Linked DNA regions of Xenopus tropicalis. The main gene of each other region encodes a partner of the protein of the gene in region 2 in a complex. Links are inferred from orthologs where the notes say so. Each region holds a gene or a part of one and is shown on either strand. Other genes may lie near its edges.

What was found. The genes of interacting proteins can lie anywhere in the genome.
Region 1: cnot10 (region 2) and cnot8 share a complex: the UniProt entries of both Homo sapiens proteins name them as parts of the CCR4-NOT complex. The link is inferred for Xenopus tropicalis from reciprocal best matches to the Homo sapiens genes CNOT10 and CNOT8.

Annotation. Positions count from the first base shown.
Region 1 is NC_030679.2:19,855,632-19,859,716, reverse strand, and holds the start of cnot8 (CCR4-NOT transcription complex subunit 8), read right to left. Parts: upstream 2,801-4,085; 5' UTR 2,717-2,800; intron 2,574-2,716; exon of another isoform or gene 2,550-2,573; intron 973-2,549; 5' UTR 885-972; coding exon 768-884; intron 1-767. UniProt on the Homo sapiens protein: Has 3'-5' poly(A) exoribonuclease activity for synthetic poly(A) RNA substrate. Its function seems to be partially redundant with that of CNOT7.
Region 2 is NC_030682.2:50,188,935-50,193,023, reverse strand, and holds the start of cnot10 (CCR4-NOT transcription complex subunit 10), read right to left. Parts: upstream 2,801-4,089; 5' UTR 2,694-2,800; intron 2,646-2,693; exon of another isoform or gene 2,626-2,645; intron 2,547-2,625; exon of another isoform or gene 2,528-2,546; intron 569-2,527; 5' UTR 464-568; coding exon 442-463; intron 1-441. UniProt on the Homo sapiens protein: Component of the CCR4-NOT complex which is one of the major cellular mRNA deadenylases and is linked to various cellular processes including bulk mRNA degradation, miRNA-mediated repression, translational repression during translational initiation and general transcription regulation.

The DNA.
Region 1 (4,085 bases), on a different chromosome or scaffold from region 2:
TAAGCTTACAAATGTACCCAAGTTCAATATAAATCCAATAAATAGGGCTCTAAATACATTGTGGCACATTGACCTTTACACTCGATCCTACCTACTAAGATCTTCAGAGCAGCTGTGGAAAGGGGTAGTTACCACCTGTACCAGTTAAACTCCTGTATAGAGAACAAACTCCTTCTCTTAGCATATTACATAGGCAGCATTGTGGGATAGGGTGGGGTTAAATTATACATATGTTGTTATTTTCCTTTATATCTCTATAACTCTCTTGATTATATTTTTGTATTAAAGGAATGTGCACAATGCATTTTTGACACAAGCCCTACTTATACTTAAAACAGACTTAAGGCTTATGATCACAGACACTACTTGTGCACAAAAAAGAGTGAAGGTCCACATACACGGCCCGACTGTAGGCCATGTAGGGGCAGAAACAACGGTCGGGCAGGTTAAAAGATTTAGTCGGACCGGGGACCGCCATTATAATTCAATCATTTGGCCCCAGGGATCAAATTAGCCTACATGTTCCCCGATATCTCCCCCCCCGTAGGTGGGGATATCAGGTGAAGATCCGCTTGCTTGGCGACATCGCCAAGCGAGCAAATCTTCACGTGTATGGGCACCTTTAGTCAGAGTCAACCAGCAATCCTGATGAATCCCAATAGGCCTGTCAAAAGCCAAAACCCTATACATCTCAATTGCAACTGGGATAAGGGGGTAATATAATAATATACCCACGCAGACAAAGTGTCAGTTTAATGTAGACTTACCATTGCTATGTAGCCATAAGTGCGAACAAGCTCTCTAATTTTATGCATCTCCTCCTCCAAGTTGACAGCCCACACCTCACATATCACTTGGCTATTATCTACCACTGCTGCAGGCATCTTGAATTCAGAAAGGTGGCCAGTGAGATGTGTGGTACAGACAGAAAATCAAGCAGTGTTTTCCCCAGACAGAGGTGATGTCTCTTACCTAAAAATTTTAAAATATATACTTTAAGGTTAACTTGCAGAAACCCAAACATATTAAGAATTTGCAATCAAAAGACATATTAAACAATTATAGGTAAGGGAAAGGCAACACTGGGAAACACTACCCTGTTAGCCTTGCGGATGGTGAATACAGGGAAATGTTCTCCTGCCACCATTTGCCTTGCCTTGTATATTAGTATTCTAACACCTGGCAGTATTTATAGTAATACAGTTCATGAAACTGCTACACCACTATAAGTATATTACATATCCATCAGGTGAGTTAGCTGCCTGGGCACATAGATTATTCATCCCATTTGGTCCATTTTTCAACTTCACAATGGTTAGGGTGTGTGGAGTTAATGCAATAAAATATTTAGTTTAATCAGTCAGTTGGCCAAAGCAGAACTCCAGCATCTTTTAAGTAGTAATTTGGCTGATCAGCCACAATTAGGACATCCTTGTTTAACCCCTTTAGATCAGCAACAGAAAAAAGCCTCAGTCGTTTAGATCGCAGATTACTACAATTCACTAAGAAGCTCAAAACTTGGTTGTAGGGGGGCTGCAGTCCAGAACATTTTTTACAATAGAGAAATGCCGGACTGGTGTAAAAAGTAACCTATTGTATTCACTGGGTGTGACTAGCTAATTGGTCCCCACTGACTTTTACCTTACCTTTGGTTCTAATACACAACTTGGGACATTTTTGTTGCAGTGGTTAGCACTTTTGTCTTGCAGCCCTGAGGTCCTTGGTTCATTTATGGACACAGCACTGCCTTATGCTTACAGTGGTTTCCTTCCACACCGCAATAAAACTACAGGCAGGTTAATTGGCCCCTAATGAAAACCGTTGTATGTGAATGTGAAAGTACCCTGGGGCAGGGAATGATGTATAATCTCACTGCAGAAGATGGTGTATAATGAATATTGTACCCCCTATTGTAAAATATAAGGATATTATAAGTCACTGAGAAATGTAATTATATTAAAGCATGAGGTCGAAGGCCAAGTCCTTTTATACAGGCCATTTTACTCTGGGATGACCTCTAATATCCTTCTTTTTTACAACAGAAGTATTTAATTATAAGACACAAGTTTTGGCAACCATGTGGCAGAAATTAAATTGCCAAGCAGCATTTATAAGGATATCATTTACAGGATATGTATGGCTCCCATGTAACAGTACACAAGAGCCATTTTTTTCCTTCACACTATATATTAAACATATATTAACATTGGCTTTGTCATTTAATAATACAGTATTTCTTAAATTCATTGTACATTTATCTACCCCCCTTCCCTTGTGGTAAGATTTCCCTGTTAACAATATAGGAAATGATGCACCTACTGTTGCAAAATATAAGTATATTAGAAGCCAAGGAGGAGTTATATGCCAATTGCTCCTTTATATGTCTATGGAACTTTACTGTGACTCCTAATATCCTTATATCTTACAACCTAGTATAAACTATTCTGACTAAGACACAAGTTTCAGTAAGTCATTCCACAAATTAAAGAACTAAGCACAGATTATAAGTAATGACATTATTAAACGCGGTTTATAAGGATGTTGCCTACAGGCTACCGATGGCTAGCGTATATTAGAAATAAATCTTAAATGTCCATCCTGCAGGTCTCCAGCACATTGGCTGGAAACGGTTTGAGAGACGCTTGCCGGGTACTGTTCGTAGCAGATGCATTTAAAAAACAAAACTCCCCTTAGCCGGCTTTCTGATCAATCTCACCTCCCGGGCTCCGACCCGAAGCAGAGGGCAGCACGAACGTATATCTCCTACTTGTGCGTACTCTACGGTAACGTTCAATGGCTGACTCGGCGGGCGCTCTAGCCACTGCTCTCTATGGTCAGGATCGAAAAGCCAATCAAAAACGCGTTCCGAACCCAGGAAGTCGAGCAAGCGAGGTAGGCCCGGAGCATGCGCAGTTGAAAGGAAACTGAATGACTCTAATGGGCATGCGTGAAGGCTATGCCGCAGCACTGGATTTGCAGAATTCGTGAGGCATTACTATGAACTATGTATTCAAATGCCATTTGTGTTATTGGATTGTGTTGAAGGGGAGGATATTTATATTCTAGAAAAAAGTTGCACATAAGCTCAAAAAGTAAATAAGACGAAAGTGGAAGTAGTTTCAATCATTTTTATTGGGATTTTTTAAACATTATAGCCAAATAAAGGCATTAAAATATTTTCAAACATTAATATTTACATTATGCAGAAAAATAATCTGCAGTACAAATAATAACAGCCGTTGAAAACTTATACATTCAGTATTGGTCAACATATGATAAAATATGATATAATATAATTTAAAATTGTTGGTTAAGAAATTTGTTATGTACACGTATATTTATACCCGTATACTAATCACGCATTGAAAACGTGCAAAACGCGTATAAACTGACACTACTGAGATCCTAGGGGTGAAAGTGGAAGTAAAGCAATTAATAATGCAATTACCTTCACAATTTCCTTTCTAGTAGCCTGGTATGTAGTAATAACTCTAACTGTAGTAACCAAACTTAGTTTTAAAGTATGAATTTGAATATAATATTTGAGAGTAGAATCTCAAAATTATAAATATTGCATTATCATGATATTGCTTCAAACCCTTATTTCCATATAGAAGCACAAGGAAAATGTAAAAATTCTATACATTTACATTACATTGCATTCTGAATCCAGATGCAAAAATGAAGATTTTGAAGTCCCACAGGCTCCACGTTATAAACCCTCCTCATATGGGTGAAGACACACAGAGCTACTAGTAGCAGCTACTTGTCGTGGCTACTAAAATAGACAGTGCTGATCATTTACTGATAACTGTCTCTACGTGTGTTTTAGCAGAGGCAATTCTCAGTATTGTCTATGGCAGGGGATTTTCGGGTTTAGTAGTGCAAAAAAGAAGCTGCTACTAGTAGCTCAGTGTGTCTTCACCCTAAAAAGCATAACTCTCAACTCCCCCAATTTTGTTGGAATTTACCTTTTACCCCTGGGTTTTACAGGTTCTCTGGCAAATTATGTGCAAACAGTCAGCATTTAGCAACTTTAAAAGAGCACTCGTGCATGTGCAGCAACGTTACAGAGAGCGTTACAA
Region 2 (4,089 bases):
CTTGTCCCGTTTACAGCCCCTGAGTGCCATTGCATCTTTTGCCAGTATGCCAACTTTTGACATGTGGGGCAGAGTTATCAAAAGGAAGGGCGCATTATTGCATATTTTTTGCATGGGTTACAATTTTGCACATGTTGCATGCACCCAGGTGTGCTGTGAGGTGGTTACAGTGTCCTTTCTTAACTGGGAATAGTAATTCATTTAAAGGGCGTAAGTCACCTCCGAAGCACTATTTTCTGTTTATAGGTTTTCAAATAGTACATCAGAAATATTTTTTAAAATGTTTTTCAATTTAAAAATTACACTTTGAAACATTTAAAAAAGTCATCTTAACAAATGCATCAAAGCCTATTTATAGTAGAGTGATTGTGTGCGCACAAGTGATTTGTGTTATGTTCCAATAAAACCAGCAGTACAACATCACAGTAAAAGAACACCTACCTCCTGCTTTGTCTGCAGCCATTCTTGAATCTTCTCTGATATAGTGTATGACTCCTTTGTGAGTAAATTCTTTTAATCCAGTCTAACAAGATGGTCCTTCAGTGTTTGCTTGTTCCAATTCTTGTTCCTGAGACAACAAGCAGAAAAAGTTCAATAACACATTTTGGCTGAAAGCAAGGTTCAGAATACTTAGGCTTTTAAATAGGAAGTTCACTTTTAGGGTAAAAAAAAAACAACAAGGTTTTTAGAAGGGCCCTTGCCTGCACCCCCCAAGGAAGGATGATGTCTACTTTCCTGTTAATACGTTCACTGATCTCAACACAAACAAGCCAATCTCTGCACCAAATAAAAACATTTGAGATGTGGGGAGCAGCTGAGAACAAACAGTTATAGTACTTGGCTCATTTGGCGATGCAACAATGATGGTGGTCTCCCTCAGACCAGTGTCAGGCAGCTTGGCAATGCATTTTAATTCAACCAAATACTAAAAACACAGTAATTATTATGAGAGTACATATAAAAAGCAGGTATGGAAGCACATGATTCACTATTGGCTTGGACCTACCACACTAGACACTTAAAAAAAAATTATAATGATGTATCAGTGACTTCCACTTCTGTATCTAATTATTCTAGAGGAATGAGTTCCCTGTCAATGCCAGCACCTTTCCCAAATCTAATTTCACCAATGCTCAAGTAACTTCACGACAGCTTGGTGCCACCACATATAGCCCTGTTGCTGACAATATAAGACACAGGGCTGATCTATTCTCTGACCCATTGCACAGATTGTGCGACTGCTGAGTATTTTCAGAGTTATGCTGCAGGCAACTAAACCAATTGCTTTACAGAAGTGTCCAATGTGCTATTCCTTTATACACATTCACTCTCCTTTACTTCAAGTAAGTGCCCAATGTGCTATTCCTTTATACACATTCACTCTCCTTTACTTCAAGCAAGTGTCCAATGTGCTATTCCCTTATACACATTCACTCTCCTTTACTTCAAGCAAGTGCCCAATGTGCTATTCCTTTATACACATTCACTCTCCTTTACTTCAAGCAAGTGCCCAATGTGCTATCCCTTTATACACATTCACTCTCCTTTACTTCAAGCAAGTGCCCAATGTGCTATCCCTTTATACACATTCACTCTCCTTTACTTCAAGCAAGTGCCCAATGTGCTATCCCTTTATACACATTCACTCTCCTTTACTTCAAGCAAGTGCCCAATGTGCTATCCCTTTATACACATTCACTCTCCTTTACTTCAAGCAAGTGTCCAATGTGCTATCCCTTTATACACATTCACTCTCCTTTACTTCAAGCAAGTGCCCAATGTGATATTCCTTTATACACATTCACTCTCCTTTACTTCAAGCAAGTGCCCAATGTGCTATCCCTTTATACACATTCACTCTCCTTTACTTCAAGCAAGTGCCCAATGTGCTATCCCTTTATACACATTCACTCTCCTTTACTTCAAGCAAGTGTCCAATGTGCTATCCCTTTATACACATTCACTCTCCTTTACTTCAAGCAAGTGCCCAATGTGCTATCCCTTTATACACATTCACTCTCCTTTACTTCAAGCAAGTGCCCAATGTGCTATTCCTTTATACACATTCACTCTCCTTTACTTCAAGCAAGTGCCCAATGTGCTATCCCTTTATACACATTCACTCTCCTTTACTTCAAGCAAGTGCCCAATGTGCTATCCCTTTATACACATTCACTCTCCTTTACTTCAAGCAAGTGCCCAATGTGCTATCCCTTTATACACATTCACTCTCTTTTACTTCAAGCAAGTGCCCAATGTGCTATCCCTTTATACACATTCACTCTGCTTTACTTCAAGCAAGTGCCCAATGTGCTATCCCTTTATACACATTCACTCTCCTTCATGTGGTGTTACTGATCAGAGTAGAGTTCTGAGGTCTAAATAAAACACAAACTAATCGTCAGTGCGGTGTCATCTCTCTCTACTACACGCTTTCTAACACCCCATCTATTTCCCCATGGCCGCCTCTAGAGGTGGGACAGTAGCCCTGGCACTGGTGGATTTTGGGTATTAAGGTGGGCCTGACCGTGTTGAGTTTACTTGAATTACCGCCCCCCATACTGTCAGTGATCTGTGGACTTGGCGAGGGCGATCGCTAGGGTGCCTGCATGTTCCTTCCCTTACACAGCATTCGCACAGCCCAACAGCCCCGAATCCCCTAACGTAGCCCGCACTCTCGAATCGCTACTTACACTTCCCACAAAATCGTTATTGAAGCGTTCTAGCCTCCAACCTCACAGAAAATCCCAAAGCCACAAATCTCATTACGCGAGATTAGCGTCACAATCACGTAAGCGCAATGACGCATGACGCAGCCGCCTTGTGGGAAGAGCAAATCGCCTTAAAGGAACAGTAACACCAAAAAATGAAAGTGTATAAAAGTAACTAAAATATAATGTGCTGCTGCCCTGCACTGGTAAAAGCTGTGTGTTTACTTCAGAAAGTCTACTATAATTTATATAAATAAGCTGCTATGTAGCCATGGGGGCAGCCATTCAAAGGAGAAAAGGCACAGGCACATAGGAGATAACAGATAAAACACTATTGTATTCTACAGAACTTATCTGTTATCTGCTATGTAACCTGTGCCTTTTCTCCTTTTTTCCAGCTTGAATGGCTGCCCCCAGGGCTACACAGCAGCTTATTATATAAATTATAGTAGTGTTACTGTAGCAAACAGACCAGTGTTACCAGTGCAGGGCAACAGTGCATTATATTTTTATTACTTTAAAGCTCTTTCATTTTTTGGTGTTACTGTTCCTTTAACTCAGTCTGTTCTGTATCAAAAGAATAAGGGTTTTCTCACTCTGTATACGTTTGTGTGAGAACGATAAAAGAAAATAAATAAAAAAAAAAGTTTCATATTTGCTTCCCACTGTGCATGCTGCCACTTGGTCTGATAATTTCTTCAAGAGAAGTACTTGTTTCCCCCTGTTACCAATAGTACCTGTCGCCTTCAGAGCCCCTTTTCCCAATTAGATCTAAACTCAAAAAGGTTTCTTGAAACTAGGATGTGAAATTGTCATCATTATTGTTTTTCTTGTTTGTCCCACGTTTAAAGAAATTGTAGGATAAAGCACTAATCATAATTAATTTCACAAATTGAACTGATTAGAGGTCCATTATTTATCTGAAGCATCTTGGGCTCTAAAGGTCCCCATACACGTTTAGATTCACTCGCTAGTATATAGTAATATAGTTATAGTATAGTAATATAGTTATATTTTTTTTTTCTGTGTCAGGCTGAGCGCAAGCATGCAAAAAAGGGGCAAAATCTGCTTTGTGTTCCTGCACTTGGCCAACACAATGGCCCCAGGTGCGGGCACAACAATAAGCTTTTGAAAGGAGACATATCCTATAAAAATTAAGAATGTACCAGTGAATTATAATCCTCTAGATATAGAAGGATTGTGTTTAAAAAGTTGTGTTTCTGACTGTTTTATTGAGAAATTCCACAAAAACCTCACTAGCCCCACCCATCTGTTCCACTTCCTGCTGGCTGAGTTCTCTGGATGTGCAGGGGAGCCGGCGGCCCTCCGTACACTGCACTGTAGGATAGGAACCAATCAGCAGCTAGGCTGACCTGAT